Mus musculus: one gene and its partners. The protein of the gene in region 3 purifies or fractionates together with the protein of the main gene of each other region. This does not show direct contact. Links are inferred from orthologs where the notes say so. Each region holds a gene or a part of one and is shown on either strand. Other genes may lie near its edges.

Evidence for each region. The genes of interacting proteins can lie anywhere in the genome.
Region 1: the proteins of Bcap31 (region 3) and Cyb5a purify together in Homo sapiens (co-immunoprecipitation; 4 studies listed by BioGRID and IntAct, with this or other methods). This does not show direct contact. The link is inferred for Mus musculus from reciprocal best matches to the Homo sapiens genes BCAP31 and CYB5A.
Region 2: the proteins of Bcap31 (region 3) and Vdac1 purify together in Homo sapiens (affinity purification with western blotting; 3 studies listed by BioGRID, with this or other methods). This does not show direct contact. The link is inferred for Mus musculus from reciprocal best matches to the Homo sapiens genes BCAP31 and VDAC1.

What each region holds. Positions count from the first base shown.
Region 1 is NC_000084.6:84,847,906-84,855,686, forward strand, and holds the start of Cyb5a (cytochrome b5), read left to right. Parts: upstream 1-3,432; 5' UTR 3,433-3,573; coding exon 3,574-3,702; intron 3,703-5,672; exon of another isoform or gene 5,673-7,781.
Region 2 is NC_000077.6:52,357,419-52,365,199, forward strand, and holds the start of Vdac1 (voltage-dependent anion-selective channel protein 1), read left to right. Parts: upstream 1-3,432; 5' UTR 3,433-3,734; intron 3,735-4,178; exon of another isoform or gene 4,179-4,298; coding exon of another isoform or gene 4,299-4,541; intron 4,542-7,781. UniProt on the Homo sapiens protein: Non-selective voltage-gated ion channel that mediates the transport of anions and cations through the mitochondrion outer membrane and plasma membrane.
Region 3 is NC_000086.7:73,713,405-73,717,483, reverse strand, and holds the start of Bcap31 (B-cell receptor-associated protein 31), read left to right. Parts: upstream 1-1,279; 5' UTR 1,280-1,366; intron 1,367-2,555; 5' UTR 2,556-2,599; coding exon 2,600-2,691; intron 2,692-4,079. Other genes in the region: Abcd1 (ATP-binding cassette sub-family D member 1), read right to left, coding at 1-453. UniProt on the Homo sapiens protein: Functions as a chaperone protein. Is one of the most abundant endoplasmic reticulum (ER) proteins.

The sequences.
Region 1 (7,781 bases), on a different chromosome or scaffold from region 3:
CTAAGTACACTGTAGCTGTCTTCAAATACACCAGAAGAGGGCATCAGATCTCATTACGGATGGTTGTGAGCCACCATGTGGTTGCTGGGAATTGAACTCAGGTATGCCTGTAGTCCAAGCTACTCAAGAGTCAGAGACAGAAAGAACTCTTTAACCAGGAGTTAGAAGCTAGGGGCCGGGCAGTGGTGGTGCACGCCTTTAATCCCAGCACTTGGGAGGCAGAGGCAGGTGGATTTCTGAGTTCGAGGCCAGCCTGGTCTACAGAGTGAGTTCCAGGACAGCCAGAGCTACACAGAGAAACCCTGTCTCAAAAAAGAAAAAAAAAAAAAAACAACCAAACAAAAAGAAACAGGCTACACAGTACATTTCCAGCCAGACTGGACCACATAGAGAACGCCAAAACAGACACAAAGAACTAAATAAAAATTGACCATCTTCAAAATTAACACTGTTTGCTTTGACAAGGACTGAGATGATGAGAGGAAAAGCCAGAAATGGGTTAAAAAATTTTCCCAGTTCTGACAACGAACTAGTACATCCATAAAATTCTTTTTTATTAAACATAATACTCTCAAAACTCAAAATTACAAAAGCAAAGAAAAATAAAATCCAGATGGCAAATAAGCATGTGGAAAGCTGGTTCCGATTAAGGCTTCTGCTTTGAACACCTATTAAATGGAAGTCAGGACAATACAAAATAATGACAAGGCTGGCGAGCATTTTGAGAAGCTGGGTCTCTCAGGCATTGCTGTAGTCATGTGGCATGGAAGATGACTTAGCAGTTTCTAACAAACTGATTATTCAGATACTTGTATTTCCCAACAGCCACTGTCCCTGGCATGGAAAGGTAAAATGTTACATTCACACAAAACTCGTATACATTTGCTCATAACAACTTTTCCATAGTTAATCAAAAGCTGGAAATCTCCAAAAACGTTCCTCAAGCAGTGGGTTTGAACATAAGCTGCTGTGACATGTCACAACCACACAGTGAAAGATGATTGGAGCTGCTGTGGTCAAAGCCTGGGCCCTGGCAGCCCAAACAAGCCAGGCTCAGTCAATATTCCCCAACAGACCAACAACAAACAGTACTACTGAATGGCAAAGAACATTAGGAAGGGCAAATAAAGAGTGCTAGCCACCTCCTCCCCCCTGCCGCAGCTCATTTTTTTTTTTTCCGTCTGACAGGAGGTAAAAGTTAAGCATGACTAAGCAGTTCTGGCTAAGCCTAGTCACTGGCCCATCTCAGCTCCTGTCTCCCTTCAATGGGCTTTGACAACTTGTCACAACTGTGTGAAGTCCTCTTCCTGGGAGACAAGTTCCTTTTCTGGCTGACACCAGACTTGAGCCCTTTCCTTCTCCCAGCATGAGAGTCTATGGAAATTCCAATCTGGGGGGACAACGCCTCAGCAATCTCTTGGCTCCCACCAGGACGGTTATGCCGCTCCTCAGTGAAGACAGCGAAATCACTATTGATACAGTTCACATCCGGGATGGATTTCAAGGACAATAGAACAAGTGAGAAAGCTGACCTCAATTGTGTTATTGTATGATTCCATTTATATAATATGGTGACAAAATAGTACAGGGATGAGACAGATTACTTATCACCAGGTGTTAAGGATAATACAGGAGGGAGTGAGTGTAGTTCAGGAAGACAGTGCCAGCTAGAGCTCGTGACAGAGCAGTTATGCTGGGGTATACGGAGGCACCCCATACACCACATACACCAGTCTTAAAACTCGAGGGAACCTTGCTGTATTGGTGTGGATTTCTTTTGTTCCCTCTCTTCATAACAAGGTCTTGCTATATAACTAAGGTAGACATGGAGCTTACTAGGTAGACCCAGGCTGGCTTCTAACTTGCCATCTGCCTGTCTTTGTCTCTAGGGTGCTGTTTTTGCAGGTATGAGCTGCCTTGTTTTGGTACTTCGTAGTTACATTAATATGTGGTCATTGGGGGAACTGGGTGAGGGATGCAGAGAAAGATGACACATCTGTTCCACATTTGTAACTTTCCATGAAACTATGCTTTAAAATTAAAGGGAAGCAGATCTCTGGAGTTCAAGGCCAGCCTGGTCTACACAGTGAGTTCTAGGGCAGCCTGGCTACACAGAGAAACTCTGTCTCCATCCAACCCCCACAAAGCCCCATTGAACTTCTTGGATATTGTTCCTACATTATATTTTAGTTGGTTGATGTAAAATAAAATATTCATATGTTGTATGTGAACCAAACTGATTAGTATCTTAATACAAAGAATTTACCTTAGAAATATTTCTGAGTAACAATTACAACCAGAAATGGTTCCTTGTGGTTAAAAAGAAAAAAAAGAAAAAAAACAGTAAAAATAGTTTGGATGCTTTGAGCAATGCTTACTTGCCAATGAGCAGCTAAGGGAAAGGGAACTTAGGCATTTCCAAGCACCTGCAGAGTTTAGGACCTTCCTGATTTCCTGGGAGAATCACTGATGTGCCCATCACTAATGCTATGTTTTTGGAGTTAATTGCCGTTGTTGAAAAGACCAAAAAACAAAACAAACAAACAAACAAACTACGAAGGGCTTTTAAAATAAGTAAATAAGTTGTCTTCTGTTTTCCCCCACCCCTGCTTTAGATATCTGTAATTTATATATAGTATTGACTTCCAGACAAAAGGGTAGGGGAGTGCCAGCCTGGGGAGGGACTCAGTGCTGCGCTGCGCCCAGTGTTGGTCCTTATTTAGGATTTAAATTTACACTACAGTGGAGGATAAGAGAAAGTCTTTGCCATGTCAGGGCCTTGTGGCACGGAAGTTATTTCAGGTTAAAGAAATTATTAGATGCTTCTAATTTTAATGTAACAATTTCCTTTGTTTGCCTGTTGGATGAGCCACTCCCAATCCCCTGCAGATTCCAGTGAAGCAAACGGCATGGCGCATTATTTGGGGCCACACATTTATTTCCAGATCTTAAGCCGTGACACTTGCATAAGAGGTTCTTTCAAATGGTCCGTTCTGAAGGGAAACCACGCAGAGGGTCACTTTGGCTCACTGCAATTTATTCCAAGCGATTATCAGGATGTAGGGCCGCTTGGTTTAGGAAATACGCAAGAGTTAATGTGAAGTAGGGTGTAAGGGAAGGAAACTAAGGTTGAGATGGAGTTTGACCTGGCCCTAAAGCTTCCTCTTTACTTGGGCGCTGAGACCTCTGATCACACTTCCCCAGCTCCCTCCCACCCACCCACCCACCCCCACTGGCTGCTACATGCGCAGACTCAGAAAACCGCCTCCCCACCCAAAGGGCTGGCTTGGGGTAAAAGTGAAAGGCACCTCTTGTAGCTAATCAACACCACGCGCCGGGCTGTGGTGGGGAATGATTGGACTATTGGAGGGCGTCGGCTGAGGGCGGGAGCACCACACTGGCCAATCCCAAGAGGCCTTGTGGTCTGTGCCCAGTTTGAGGCACCGCCCTCTCCTGGTTCTGGGCACAGGGCCCGGTGGAGCTGGGAATGTCCCGGGCGGAGGCGCTCAGACCTGATCATAGCACAACCCTGCACGGCTGTGTTGCAGGGCCCGGTAGACTCACTGTTCCGAGATGGCCGGGCAGTCAGACAAGGATGTGAAGTACTACACCCTGGAAGAGATTCAGAAGCACAAAGACAGCAAGAGCACCTGGGTGATCCTGCATCATAAGGTGTACGATCTGACCAAGTTTCTCGAAGAGGTGAGATGGGCACGCACGCTCCAATGGGACACAGGAAAGGGTGGTCCCGGCTGTGGATACCCCCGGTGTGACCTGGGACCGATGTCCGAAAATGCGTTATCGGGTGCTCAAGTGTTTGAGAACATTTAAGAAGAGGGCCTTCCGCGTCTGCACACTTGTGTTCGCTTCTGAGCATGCTCACCTGCTTGTGCACACCTGTATCTGTGCTCCTGAGTGCCTTGGGTTGGCACATCTGGGCATGCCCATGGGAGGTAGGGAAGCATCTTTGCGGTGTGGGCTGTTTTTGTAGGCTTCGATGGGCGGAGTATTTGCAGGCCAAAGCTGGATCCCTGCGAGATGCTCAGGAGTGTCTTGAATAAATGCTACCCACTTGCTGGGAGAGTGCATAACCGCGTAAGGATTTTGAAAGAACCTTTTTTTTTTCCTTTCTTTCTTTCTTTCTTTCTTCCTTTCTTTTGCTTTCGTATAAGGCTCTTTCCATGTAGAGCTCCTCCATTTTCGAATGGACTTTTAGTATCAGCGGTTTGGAGACCTCTGGTCTTAAAAGCTATTTCCCCCAGAGGGTTCCTTAGGGTCGCAGGAGTGTGTGTGTGTGTGTGGGGGGGGGCACTCCCAGGGCTACTTTGATGCCCAGACCCATAAATTTACTAGTGTTCACTAAGCAGAGCCTGAAGGATGTCGACCTTAATGGATTAGTGACTTGTCTCAGAGCCCCAGCACCAGGTGAGTGACCCAAAGACTCCCTAGTGTGTGCCTTGAGCTCATACTAAGGAAGGGAGGTAGGCAGCATGGTACAGTCAGAAAACTGGAACTAAATCTTTAGGCTACTTCGGAAGTTGTAAAAATGGCTTAATTTAGAGGAAAACATTTCCTCTGGCAATGCTGATCTCAAGATTGTAGTTCTTGCTGCCCAGCCCAAGGGGCGTTTTGTTTGTAGTCTTTCTCTTTATTCCTTCCAGATGCACTGTTACTTTGGGTCACACACACTCACAAGGACTCTGCACCCCACTTCTTTCCAGTAAATAAGAGTGCTTATTGATGAGGGTGGTTTGCATGTTTGTTTGTTTGGTGGTGGGCTGGGCAGAAGTCCAGGGTCAGTGTTAGATTATAATTTACCTCAAGGGACATCTGCTTTGCAGAGAATGTTAAATACAGAAAAAACTGAAAGTTTGGAGTTTTAGTTTCATGCTAAAATACTTGACTGTTAACGGTAAAATAGGGCTCCAGTTTAGTAAGGAGTGGCTTGCAGTGTGGGCTCAGATCTGCCTCTGTTCTGCTGAGCCCAGAGCAGGTTTGCATCCTAGCTTCTCAAACTAACAGTCCTGTATTGTTTTGCATTTTGTTTGTTTGTTTGTTTTGTTTTTGTTTTTTCGAGACAGGGTTTCTCTGTATAGCCCTGGCTGTCCTGGAACTCACTTTGTAGACCAGGCTGGCCTCAGAAATCCGCCTGCCTCTGCCTCCCAAGTGCTGGGATTAAAGGTGTGCGCCACCATGCCCGGCTTGTTCTGTTCTGTATTGTTAAGCCAAGGGCCAGGTGAATGACTTCACGTGGAATTGTCCCCCCCCCCCCCCCCCGCCCCACCACCATGATATATGTAATTCTTAAATTTTATGATAAAATTCGTCCCTTGACTTTGTGTATATAATAAAGTGCAGCACTTGTAAAAAGAAAAAGACAAAACGTTGAGATAATTTATACGATGCAGCTGTTTTAACTTGTCTCGTTGTCCTTTCAGACAGGTCCCTAGACCTCGGGACTGTTGACTTTTTAGGTTGCCTCCCTGTCCTGTATTCAGTGGATGTCCTAACAGTGACAACCAGCACTGTCTCCAGATACCGCCAAATGTCCCACAGGACATACAGTTGCTCCTGATAGAGAATTGCTGCCCCCAAAATAATTGTGTATGACTTTAAAAAGTAGATCTTTGAAGTAGGTAACAGGGATGAGATTATTAAATTATACTCAGTCATTGATTCTCTTAATTTATTCTCATGAGGCAGGGAAGGAGTGGGGAGAGGACCCCACAGACTTATTGAGCTCAGCTGAAAGGCTAACAAGAAGCTGCTCTGTAGGAAAAAAAAGCTGGAAAGAAAGTTCCTTTGCTCTGGCTAAGTTTTTGGTACCCTGTCTCTGAGGATAACTTGGGAAGAACACTTCTTGAGCAAAATGGAGAGGCTCCCTGGGAACCAGTCTTCTAGGACGTTGATGGAGAGGTCAGAGTCTTTGAGAAGCACAGAGAATGGTTGGGTCCTGTTGACCTTAAGGGTTAGAGGGACCAAGACCCCTTCCTGCTTTTCTTACCCCTGCTCTCACTGTGTGTGAATGTCTCACCATGTTGGATGGAGCAATTCTGGGATCATCAGGCTTCTGGGTATATTCAGACTCTGCCTGGTGTTGACACTTGACATTTCGTAGCTTGCTGTACTACTTATGTACTTATGTACTACTGCTTGTTTCACACAGTCTTGGTCATTGGCTTTCCTTCCCTAGTGTGGCATTGCCTTTAGGATCTCTGGGCACCGGCAGGCACTGAACATGACTGCTTGTTCCTGTTTGGGTTACCACTTCCACACACACCTCAAACATACTGCCACAGTTGTTCTTCTTTCTAGATTCCTTCAGTTTCAACTATGTTGTTAGGTCTACATGGTTTGTCTCATGCTTTGGCTTAAAACAGAAATATTTTTTACAAGGGTCAGAGTGTCCTACTTTTCCTGACTTCCTTTCCTTCTACATCTCAAGGTTCCAGAAATTTCACGAGGCCCGTGAGCTGAAGAATATGTTTTGCTAATTTACAAATGAAAAAAGTGGGAGGAGCATCCTTCTTCCCTTTCTGGAATTTTCTGTCACCATGAGCTGTGTCTCCACAGGCTCTGGATTCACCCATCCTCGTGGCTCTGCTTTTCTGTTGAGGGAGCACGTGCTGTGGTTGGCTGCTCCTGCTCTGCTGCCTGCCTTCTCTGTGCCTTAGATTCCTCACAGGTAAAGGAGAGACAAGCAGTGTCTGATTGCAGCTGACAGTGATTTAAAGCATTGACTAGTGTAGTGTGCATGCATGCCTGTAATCTCAGGCAGGAGAGTTCCCAAGAATTAGAGAGGCCAGCCTGGGTGACCATGAGAATCTCTCCAGAAACCACAACTAGGAAAAAAAAAAAAGAGTGTTTTTTTTTTTAACACAAACCAGGATGAGTTTCCCTGCTCATTTGGAAACTGCAGCCGCGGCCAGACTTGAGCTGTGGTTCCCCCTCTGCGGTGTCCTGTGTAGTTGGGTGTTTGGGGTGTGCTTTAGGTGAGATGTAACTCCGGAAGGTGATCGTGAAATAGGAGAATAGTAGAAAAATTATCTTTCTAGTCACGAACACAGTTTGAAGGTCACTTGTGCAATGTGAACTCTGTCTTCCGGAAATAATGATCTGAGGTCCAGAGGTGGGAATCCCACAGGGAGGCCATCTAAACAGCAGCAGGGCTTGGGTCCCGAGCTGGCGTCTGCCCACAGGATTATAAGCCTCATTGCCTAGATATTTTGAACCTTTTTTTTCCCCCTAGTCCTGCCCCCTAGGTTTTGAGTTTACATTTATGAAATTGAGTCTTGTTATATAAGATCATGGCATTAGACAGGTTAGTGATGATAGAAATCCGAGAGACCATTATTTGGAATGAAAACAGGTGTTAAGGGCCAAGGAGCAAGTTTGCATTTCCCTGTTCTGTGGTTGAGCCAGGTTTAAGCAGAGCTGTGGAAGGGAGGAAGAGAGCATCGGGTAAGACTCCTGTTGCCTTTCCGTTCTGGGCAGTGGGTGCCCGTAACATCTCCTAGGCCGCGTTGAAGGCAAGTTGTCTGTGCTCCCCACACAATGTTTTCCTAGTGATGCTGAGATTCTGCGATTTTTAAAGCAAGTCTTGAATATTCATTGAAAGCATCCCGCCTTGCAGAGGCTGTTAGCTTCTGACTCACTTAGCCTTTTTGGGGTCTTGACGAATGAAGTTTTGCTTTTTGTGGCTGCTTACCTTTCACAGATGAAGAATTCAGAGTCTGAGGACCACTGTCTCCCTGAGACATTTAAGATGTCCACCTGTGTTT
Region 2 (7,781 bases), on a different chromosome or scaffold from region 3:
TCCTTGGGACTCTTAACTGGTATCTTTGGTATTTTCCAACAAAGCCCTCCCCACTTCCTTGAGTTGTGGTTTCTTCCTTTAAATACCCCCTTACCCAGCTACTTGGGGTGCCACGGTCCTCTACCCCTGCGTGGTGTATGACCGTGGGCCCGAGAGCGCTCTTGAATAAGAGTCCTCTTGCAGTTTGCAGCAAGACCGTTTCTTGTGTGATTTGGGGTGTCGCCTCTCCTGAGTCAGAACGTGGGGGAGTCCTCACGTTGTGGGTCTTTCATGCACACATAAACAAAAACTTAAAATATAATTTTTTAAAAGAAGACCTAGTATAAGAAAGAACTTCCCTAAGGTGAAGAAAAAAAATACTTTTTTTTTTTTTTTTTTGAGACAGGGTTTCATGTAACCTAGGCTGGGTTTGAGGTCATTATGTAGCCAAGGATACAGTAAACTTCTGATCCAGCCTCTGAAATAAAATAGTCTCACACGCATAGACCATTTCATTATTAAGAGAAAACTGCATCCCCTCTGGATGGTTTACTTTGTTCTGTGCAAAGGAAGACTGCAACTGATTTTGCACCTAAAAGAAAATACAATGTAAATAAATTAGGCAAAAAGAAAGAAAGAAAGAAAGAAAGAAAGAAAGAAAGAAAGAAAGAAGGAAAGAAAGAAAGGAAGAAAGAAAGAAAGAAAGAAAGAAAGAAAGAAAGAAGGAAAGCAAGCAAGCAAGCAACCCATTACTCAGGTAGCTGGCAAACAGCAGGAGAGGCCAGATGCAGGTGCACACTAGCTGCACAGCTAATCTTAACCCTAGCGTCAGTTTTAGTCTATTTTCACAGCTAGAGAACTCCAGGGTCTCAGTGATTCCTCCCCAGAGTCAGGGGAAAGAGAGCAGGAGGACTCTGTCACTTGTCAGCTCCAACTCCAACGAAGCCTGTGCATGAGACAAAAGTGAAATAGGGTCACTTATCCCAACAGACCTATGGTCAGGACAAAAGTGACATAGGGTCACTTACCCCCAACAGGACTATGGTCAGGACTGGCCCATCCCCACAAGTCAACAAGACATCTCTGGACTCACATGGAACTGAAGTAGCTCTGGGGACCCCAAACTCAGGAGGGGGATCCATGAGGAAATGAGCTCAAAGCGTCTTGCAACTGCACAGTGTTCTGCTTGCTTTTCTGGGCCAACAGAGATGCAAGCCTGCCGGAGGAGTTGGCAGACTCAGGACATCCTGCTGTTTCCCTAAAGCTTCTGGATTTCTTAATTTGAATCTGCAAGTAAGAACCCGACTGGCCAGGCTTGGATCAGGTTTTCTGTCTCAGGCCAATCAGCTTTGGCAGACTCCGTAGAGGGGAGGCTGGGCAGAGTCCAGTTTAAAAAAAAAAAAAAAAAGGTGACTTGCTTTTCCCCTCCCTGCAGGCTGTGACTGGGAAGAAAGATCAATGAATAACATTTCTGGTGCACTTGGATTTCAATCCCAGGGGCTCCCAGGTCTCCTCCCTATTCTGGCTGATTTTCTTTGCCTTTCTTGTGTGGCTAATTCTTTGGATTTAAAACCTTCCCTTCTGGAAGGAAAGAGATTCATAAAAGTCAGGTTCAGTCCTCAGCACTAGAAAGTTAAAAACAAACAAACAAACAAACAAACAAAACCCAAAACATACATGGCTTGGGAAGTCCAGCTATCGGACTCACGAGGTCCCTCTAGTCAACAGTTGCTGGAGAGGGAACTCTTGAGCTGCTGATAAGTCATGCATTGGTCCAGGGATGCATGCAGGTTTGTTAGTTGGGGGCCTTTGGGGTGATCTTTTTAGTTACCTTGAGTTACCTTGTAAATAAATTAAACACTTTCCCTGGTTTGCCGACGTAGACTTTGGGTGGAATTCTTTAATCTGTCATCTGTGCCTTCTCTACCGCAAATAGCTGTCTGTCTCCCCAGCAAAAGTGACACAAGCCACTCGCTGAGTTTTAGGTAAGTGCCTTACCAGTCCTCTGCATCTCCATTCATTTTAAATTAAAACCAAGACTCCCAGGGCGCTGAACGGAGGTGGCGCACACCGCCTTTAATCCCAGCACTTGGGAGGCAGAGGCAGGCGGATTTCTGAGTTCGAGGCCGGCCTGGTCTACAGTGTTAGTTCCAGGACAGCCAAGGCTATACAGAGAAACCCTGTCTCGGGAAAAAACAAACAAACAAACAAACAAAAAACAAAAACAAAAAAAAAACCCAAAAAATAAAACAAAACAAAAAAAAAAACCAAGAAAGACTCTCAGGGCGAAGTTCCGAGAAGCCAGACTTTCTGCCCACCCACGACACACAGCCCTGGGCATCAGGGCTCTGGGTCAAGTGTTAAGATTCTTGGAGACAAATCTTGTGTCCCCAGGTCTTGTCCTTCCGACTCTGCCTCCCTGTACGCCCCTGTGACTCAGCAGCTTTCCCTGCCTGGCTTTAACTCCGGGAATGGGCTGGGTGTTTGTTGCCGGGTAGATAGAGCTGCAGACTTGGGAACAGGTTCTTTCTAATGCAAAGCAAGCCCTGTACCACGGAGCTATCTGTTTGCCCACATTCTATTTCGAAGGGCTTTCCCTCATAGTCTTAACTAGATATGGGCTTAGGCCCCCTTACATTCCCTCTCCTCGGCCTCTCTCTCTCTTGGTTCCCTTCCTTTAGCCCACGGAACAGCATTTTCAATCTAGAGTGGCTGCGGATGCCCAGCTGTCTTGTTCAGCTACAGCAGGTTGTGAGCAACCACCTGGCGTCTCCTCTACTGGACCCCAAATGCCTGAATTCTCCTCGGACGTCTGTTAGTAGAAGGCAAAGGGTGTGAAGTCTTCACTCACATGTGATTTCACAAACTCTCCAAACCTGATTTGGTTAGTCTTGGTGTGGCACGCTCAACAGGGCAGGAGGCCACGTGCTGAGACCAGGCTGGGAAAAAGTGTCCGCCCTCTCTACACTGCAGGAAAGCAGACATCCAGAACCCGCGTGACCTCACGTAGCGAGACTCCGCAGTCTCACAAACCCACTTTGTCTTTTTTAATTTCTTAAATGCTTGGGAAATGGCGGAAAGAGGCTTTGACACTAGGGAAGATTGCACGCAACTTTACAGTGCGGAGCCGGCTCTCGGGAGAGTTTAATTTGCAACTGACTCGCTGACGCACGCGGGCGTGTCGCAGGCTCCGGAAATCAAGGTTGGAGCAGAGGGGACAGTAGCCGCTCTGACCTATACAGCGCCACTTCCAGAGCCCAGTGTCCCCACTGGGCCTCCGAGTGACTTGCAGCCTCGGCGACTCCGGCGACACTATCCGCTGAGGTCCCTAGGCCACCGCTCTGTGTGCCGGAAGCTCCCCTCCCCCTCTTCCCAAATGCTTCCAGCAGCCTGGAGGCTGCAACAGTGACCCGCGTGTCCCCGCGCACGCACACACCTCACGCACGTCAGACCCACGCCTCCCTATCGCCCCGTGCCAGAGTGCACGCAGGCCTTTACGCGCGGCCACACATGATCACAGAGCCGCAGAGGGCGAGAGCGCGGCTCGCGAGTGGGAAGAAGACCCCGAGACTGGTCTGGGCGCTGTCCGGGGTGGAGCCGAGGGCGGAGCTTCGGGGTCCGGCGCGCAGAGCTGGGGCGTGTCCGCGCCGCCGCGATCTGCGCCGCTCCGCCCTCGGCCCGTTCGCTGCGCTCCCAGCCTCCTCGCCGCAACCCCCGCCGTAGCTGCCGCTGCTCCCGCCGTCACCGCCTCCGAGGTAGGCGCAGCGGAGAGGGCCTGGGCTATGCCTGAGTCCCCAGGGCCTCGGGTCGCGCTCCTGGGAAGTCTCCAGGGAGGCGATCGAGGGAGGTTCGGGCGAGGGCGCTGGGCCTAAGCGCTTGGCCCCGGGAAGGGTGAACCAGGGACGATCATTGCGGGCCTGGAGGGGCAGCGGGCTTGTAGAGGAGGCCTGGAGGGCGGGCGCAGAGCGGATCTCCCAGATTCTAGCTCGAGCGTTCAGAGCACCTGCATTTGGAAGCCAGGGGCGGTTCGAACATGCGAGGAGCGGAAGGGCAAGGGCGGCCGCGTGGAGGCCCGGCGGGCCGCGGGTCTAGGTGACCTTCCCGGCGGCGCCCTCTGGCTCTAGATCCCGTCGGTGTGGATCTGGTAGAGACCCTCCCACGGCCCAAGCCCTTCCCCACCAGCTCCAAGGGCCTGTGCAGACCCAGCTTCCTCCGCCGAGAGGACGAACTCCAGGCACGGCCATGCCCTGGATCCCCCAGCCCCTACACGCCCTAGCCGGCCCACGCCCGGAGTAGGTGGCGCCGGGTCCCTCCCGCGCATGCCAGTGTCTTCCCGGGCGGAACGGGCTGCCCTGAGTGGACTTAGGCCGCAGGAACAGGGACCTGGGCCTGGACTGAGAGCGAGACCCCATAGGGAGCCATACGCTTGGCCTCCTTGGCCTCGGGGACGGAGTCCGTGTTCTGTGTCGCCAAATGCAACTGTGCATTCTGGAAACTGTTTTCAGGGCCTGACATCAGATTGGAGGCCCGCAACTCTACACGGTTTGTCCAAGGTCACACTGGTAGGAAGATTTAAAACTTCAATCTTCTCATCTGCGAAATAGGAGCAATTATATACACTTCACTGAGTTTGGGGGAAAGAATAAAATGATCCGATTAACACGAAGCCTTGGGGCATGCACAAGGACACCTTAGAAACCTTGACATTTGCCTAGGAGACCTAGGAGCTTTTGGGGAGGGTTGAACTCATCCTCCACAGACTTTTATTTTATTTTATTTTTTATTCCACATGGTGTACAGGAAGGGACTCCATGAATATACAGGCGTATTATTTTAATGCCATTATTACTAATGTCAGAAGCAAGCATTTGTGCAGCACCAGGTATTGAGTCATTGGAGAATAATTCACGAGACACTGTCAGTTTGCAGATTGACAGCTGTCAGGCTGGAGCACTAAATCTGACTGCAGACCCAGAATGCAGGAAGAGTGTGGGCTTAGCTCAGGTGTGTGCTGTCCAAAACTTCTCTTTCCTTGACCAGAGATATGGGTGAGGGGCTTAACTCCGGCTTGTTTACTAGCAAGCCAGGCATAACTGCGGAGGGCCTGCCTGCTTTTCTCGGGACTGACAAAACTGAAGGGCCAAACTCAGGCTTGTCTTCAGGGACTTGGGTGGGACCACTTGGCACACATTAGGTGGTTAAGAAAGGTCTGTGGGGTAAATTCATTTTTAAAAAATGTCTATTTAATGTGTGCATGCTTGTGCCTATGTGAGTTTATGTACATACATGCAGGTGTGAGATGCCTCATGTGGGTCTGGGAATCGAACCTGGGTCTTCTGCAAAAGCAGTAAGCACTTTTTTGTTTGTTTTGTTTTTGTTTTGTTTTGTTTTTTTGAGACAGGGCTTCTCTGTATAGCCCTGGCTGTCAGCAGTAAGCACTCTTTTTTTTTTTTTTTTTTTTTTTAAGATTTATTTATTATTTTATGTAAGTACACTGTAGCTGTCTTCAGACACTCCAGAAGAGGGCGTCAGATCTCATTATGGATGGCTATGAGCCACCATGTGGTTGCTGGGATTTGAATTCAGGACCTTCAGAAGAGCAGTCAGTGCTCTTAACCATTGAGCCATCTCTCCAGCCACAGCAGTAAGCACTTGTAACCCCTGAGCTCTCTCTCCATTTTTTTTTCTTTCATACCACTCTTAACTACCCAGGCATGGTAGGTGCACATTCAATCGTGGAATCTTAAAACAGCCATTAGATGACCTAGACAGCTCACTCACTTCTAGAAGCTATCCTGTCCTAGCCGAGTCATAGATGTCATAAGAGCTGTAATCGTACATACTCACCTACAGCAGTAGTCATGAGAGATGAGAAACAGCTCCTTTAGCATTCTACAACTTCCCAAGTCCTGGGGGAACTTGTCCAACTGGTGTTTCTGGGCTTAAAGCTAGAGAGTGATATGGGTAGATGGGATTCTGGCCAAAGCTGTGGGGCCTGTAGCTTCTTCCCTTTCTGACAGGTGTGGGGGTATGACAGCTCGAGTAAGGTGCCAGTCCCCACTTGTAGTAGCTCACAGCTGATTCGCTTTATTTCTGGTTTCTAGAATGAGGCTTTGGACAGGGGCTGTCTGGGGCCATGCGGTCCTCATGCTGGACCTGAGCCCCTAGGATTCCGGAAAGGTTGTACTGTCGTTGTAGCTTTGCGCTTTCCCCAGGTTCCTTCGGTACCTGAAAGGATGGCAGAGGCATGCTTAGCTAGACCTGGGTGTGGGTCTCCATCCCGCAGTTAAGTCACAGCATGTGAGCACTTTACCTAGGGCTGAGCTAGAAAAAGCTCCAGAGGGCAGCCTGGGCTCTCAGTTCTGATCTGACAAGAGCCACAGAGTCTAGCTCAGGTGAAATAGCTTTCTCGTGTCTTAGTTCCTCTGTTATAATGTGGTGGATTGATTGATTGATTGATTGATTGATTTTGGCTTCTGTTTTTAAAAAAATTAATTGTTTGGAGGTGGCTAGCACATGTGGAGGTCAGAGGTCAACTTCTGGTCTTCCTGTCTCCACTCAGGCCTTGGGATCACCTGGGTCTGCAGTAGAACTGTGACTGTCAGTGCTGGCCATTCTGGTGTTCTGCGGCCCTGCTGTGTATACTTGGTGCTTGGGCACCAGTCCTCCGCTAGTATCCCCACACTGCACTGCTGCTGTGTTCTGAGGAACCCATAGGTGTGAGTGCCTCTGCACAGCAGAAGTTACCAACTGGTTGGGAAAGGAGAGAGGTAGCTGCTGTGGGCCATCTGTAGTGGACGGTGCTCATAGAAATCATTTGCCCTGGGGTGAGATAGGAGGTGTCCTTCCGGGACCTGGCCAGACAGTATCCGGCTAAACAATACCTCTCTATGGGTGGGAAGGACTCTGGACCCCGTGGTTCAGGGTGAGCTTCTGACAAGATGCTCAGAAACCATTATTATAATAGTAGATATACAAGACCAGAGCTTGGTTAGATTCCCTAGCCATAAATATAGCAATGGAAACTGTCTATTGGACTGGCTTGTGTGGGACTTAGTAGAATGCTAGCCCAGCATGCAGAAAGCCCTGGATTCTTCCTTCAACACTGCAGAAACTCAGTAAGGTGGGGCACACACTCAGAGGTGGAGGCAGGAGGATCAAGTTCAAGGTCATCCTCCGTGACATAGTGAGTTTGAGACTCACTGTGGGCTACATTAGATCCTGTTTCAAAGCCAAACCAAACTGGCTGGTGGTGCACACCTTTAATCCTGGTACTTGGCGGGGTGGGGCAAGGGGAGGGCACAGAGGCAGACAGATCTCTGTGAGTTTGAGACCAGCCTGGTCTACAGAGTTTCAGGACAGCCAGGGCTACACAGAGAAACCCTGTCTTGAAAAACGAAGAACCAACCAACCAAAGAAACCAAACTTATTATTTATTTGTCTGCTCATCTCAGATGATAAGTTGACCTGTCATCTGTCATCTTAATAGAATTCTACTTGTGTTTGTTTCATGGCTTCTGCATGTACCAGCCGCAGGGATGTATACCAAGGGGAATTGGGTCAGAGAGACTGACTTTGGGGTCTTTTACTTAGAAAGGGAGTAGGATATAGACCCATATGTCCTTGATTCCCAAGGCTGAGCACTTAAAAAAAGCGCTGACTGTGTCAACCCCCTATGCCTTGTGGTGCCTGGGCTATCCTGGAGCCCTGGTGTACCTGGCTGGACCCTAGACCCTGGAGTGCTGCTGGCTGCCTGCATGGCCTTCTCTCCACAGGTGGGTGAGGGAGAGAAGGCAGGTTGC
Region 3 (4,079 bases):
GATGGCACTGTTGATGAAAGTGGCAGGAAGGGCGATGAGGAGCCACTGCAGCAGTTGCCAGCTAAAGGCCCGCGGGTCCTTACGTACAATGCAGCGGGCCAGTCTGCCGTCCAGGCGGGCAACATACACAGACAGGAAAGTTCGGCTTACCAGGGCAGCAGAATGCAGGGCCAGCAGCCCTGTTTCCCGGCACAAGACTCGGGGGAACAGCAGCCTCAGGAGCGCCAAGAGCCGCTGCAGGAATACCCGGTTCATGCCAGCCTTGGTTGCGGTGGCTCCAGAGGCCTCTTGAGTGGGCTCCCCAGCTGGCACCTGAGGACCTCTGGCAGGAGTCAGACACTGCCGTACTAGAGGGTAGATTTTGTGGACTCCATAGGCTGTGAGGGCCAGGACCACAGCTGTGCGCTTCAGCGTGGTCACCCGTGAGGGCCGGGGAGTGGAGAGCACCGGCATGTCACCTGGACTGGTGAGCAGGCTGAGGGCTGGAACTGCTGCCTGAGGCTACAGTTGCAGACAGATCCTGGAAGGGTTGTTGCTCTGACCCAGGGCTCGTTGTCTAGGCAACTGGAAACCTTGAAGTGATCCCTGAGACTGTTGCTTTAGGCCCTCGCGGTGGTGCTGGGGCCCCTGGATCGGTTGGGTTAGAATCCTCCAGGGTCGTGGCCTCTTCAGGCAGCCCGGGTGGAGGAACTGGCTTCCCTCTACAGACTGTCCCCTTAGCCCCTGAGGTCAGAGCCTCGAGAGGTCTTAAGGAGAGAGGCTGTGTCTTTCCTTCCACCTCCCTCCTCTTACTGCTCCTCCCCCCCCACCCCCCGTGACGCCCCTCCCCGGGGCACCAGGCGTGTTTGTCCGCTGAGCAGCCCGGCAGTAACGACAGCGTCTACGCCAAGGCCCAGAATCCCCACCCACCTACCCCTCCCCAGGGGTGGTGATGGGGAAGAGGAGGCGGAGTTGAGGCAAGAGGCGGAGTCCGAGTTAGGGGTGCCCCACCCCGTTCTCGCCCTACCGTTGGACCCCTCCCCCTCTCCGACAACAGAAACGAAGCAAGTCCGCGTACACTACAGAAGCGGCCCCAGCCCTCCCGCCAAGGCGCCTCCAAGCTCCACCCCTGCGTGTCCGAAGTGTCAGAGGCGCGGCAGGGGGCCTTCAACCGTCAGCCTCTACTTCCTTTCTAGACCTTGGCAACAGGCCGCGCCTAAGGGCGGGGCGGGAAACGACAATGGGCGGAGCCGTTAGGGGCCTCTAGAGGACTTGTAGGCGGGGCCTGACGCGCGTTTCCGGTTTCCGCCCGCGGGCTAGGGGGCGGGCCTGAGCATTGGTGAGAGTTTGGTAGTTGCGGTGGGGCGTGCGAGTAGGCTGAAGCTCGGTAAGCTGGGTCCGCATGCATGGCTGACTTTCGGACCAACGAGGTTCCCCCCCAGTCCCTTCATGAGGGAGGAAGGCGAGCATCCCAGAAATACTGTGGGTTCTGGGAAGTGTAGGGATCCGGGCCGACTTCGGAGTTTAGGGCAGGATCAGGCATAGGGATGTTGTGGAGGTAGGTGGAGCGGGACTCTAGGGGACGCGAGGACAGGGGCCAGTCCTCCCCACCCCCCCCCAGAAGAGCTGCCCAGGTAGGCCCAGCTCCTCGAAAGCCACCTGGCGCTGTGGACTTGGGCGTTGTGGCTTGCTAGGGATGCAGGGAGGTCCCTTTTTTGGCTTCGGGAGAGACTTTCTGGTTCTGGAACTTTCTCTGGGTAAGGCCTGGACGTGCTCTGTGGAGACCTGTATTTGCTTTTGGCCTGGATTCCCGCCCTCTAGGAGTCGCTCTTGTGGGCCTTTTGAGAGTAAATGGAGGCCTACACCCTGTGCATTCGTGCGAGCATTCGGAAGGCCTATCTAGTTTTCAAAAGCAGCTTTAGAAGGAGGCTGGAGGCTACTAGGGTTATCAGCCCCTCATAAGCTCTGGAGGAAATGGGCCTGCTTTCTTGTGCAGAGGCTTAGGTGGTGGCGTTTGCAGAAAATACATGTATGAACACTGCAGTCCCAGTCCCACTGTAGAAGCGACTGGAAGACATGTATAGCTCCTGGCAGCAGAGGCTTCTACTCTTGGAAGGAAGCCTAATGGGTGCTGAGGTCCTTCTGTTTACGTACTGTTCTTTTGAGAAACATTTTCTTAAACAGGTCTAGCCTTACAAGGGAGCCTGATGGGTGCTGAGAAGGTTCTCCTATTCTTATGAGAAACATTTTCTTAGTTAAACAGGCTTAAGAGTCTCTTGGACGGCCCCGGGGAAAGGAATCATGAACAAAAGTACCTAGTCATAGTAACATACTTGCTGGAGGGGCACAAGTAACTGTCCCAGGCAAGGGAAGTTTGTTGGCTGGCTAGAATCATTGGTCAAGTGTCTGCTGTTGGGTTAAACCCTGTTTCAACCAGGGTTTCAAAAGCTCTGAAGCAGAATCCTGTGGTCTGTTGTGAAGAATAGCAGCCCCAGCCTCTCCAGGGTCCCTGAGCAGTCCCTGTCAGTGACTTTCCAGCTCTCATGGTTCCTCCTGTTTCTTCTGTATCCTGCCAGGAAACAAGCTCCCATCCCTCTGTTGGAACCCTTTAAGTCACAGGATGAGTTTGCAGTGGACTACAGTTGCCACCTTCCTCTACGCAGAGGTCTTTGCTGTGTTGCTTCTCTGCATTCCCTTCATTTCTCCAAAAAGGTATGGCTAGTGGAACAACAAAGCAAGCATATGATGAGGGTGCTATCAAACCCTGAACCTTGTAGTTTCTGTGTGCAAAATTGGTGGACCCTGAAATTGAGGCTATATGGAAACAAGTAAAACCTGTCTTGAGTAAGGGTGTCAGGAGTATGATTTTTTTTTTCTTATCACCAATCTTGAACATTGTCTGGCTTTGTCACCTCGTCATTTGCTTTCCTGTGCACACTGTCTTCTGGTTTTTGCAAAAGAAGATTTGACTTCAACTTTTTTGAGTAATATTCTCTTGCCAACCCTTGGGCCTCAGGGCTGTAGGGGATAATTGTGTGGAAACTTGAATACTTGCACCATTGGCTTACATTGTTGCCGATTTGCTGACTTTTGACCTCCTAGCTAACTCCTACTGGCATTGCTTAGTAGGCTCATGAGCATTACTCAGCCTATGAAGGATGGAAGCTATAGTCCCTTTTAATAAAAAACAGGCTGGGCGTGGTGGCGTACGCCTTTAGTCCCAGCACTTGGGACGCAGAGGTAGTGGATTTCTGAGTTTGAGGCCAGCCTGGTCTACAGAGTGAGTTCCAGGACAGCCAGAGCTACACAGAGAAACCCTGTCTCGAAAAACAAAAAACAACCCAAAAAACCAGGATTTGCTAAACGTTATTTAGATATTGTTTCAATCATTTGTAGTATATCAACACTATTCGTATTTAAATTAGGATTTATAAAATTGCCATAGTTAATAATACCTAAGGAATATTCTTGCTAAAACCCACATTGACATTTAGTTCACAGGAAATACAGTGACCAAAACGCTGGTGGAACTGGAGTCTTGGATACTCTCTAGGACAACTAACTTTGTTCCACCACTTAGGAGGTGAAGGCAGGGTTAGGAGTTCAAGACCTATCTTGGCTACATAGCAAATTTGAGGTTAGCTTGAGCTAAATGAGACCTGGTATGAAAAGGAAAAGGATTACGGAAATGGCTCTGTAAGTAAAATGGTTGCTTGAACAAGTATAAATTCAAAATCTGAGTTTGATCTCTATCATTGATGTAAAATCTGGACATAGGAACACACTTCTGTAATAGAGTGTGGTAGAGGCAAAGATAAGGAGGATCCTAGCCAGTCTAGCTGAATCAGTAAGTTCTAGGTTCAGTGAGACCACTGGGAAAAAAAGAAAGTAGAGAATGATTAGAGAAGATAACCACTTCAAGCCCACACACTCATGCATATGCACAGGTACAAACACACAGAAAAATTGAAAGGAAAAAAAAGCAGGAAGGAGAGACTGATTAAGACCAACTTAAAAGCCGGGCGTGGTGGCGCACGCCTTTAATCCCAGCACTCGGGAGGCAGAGGCAGGCGGATTTCTGAGTTCGAGGCCAGCCTGGT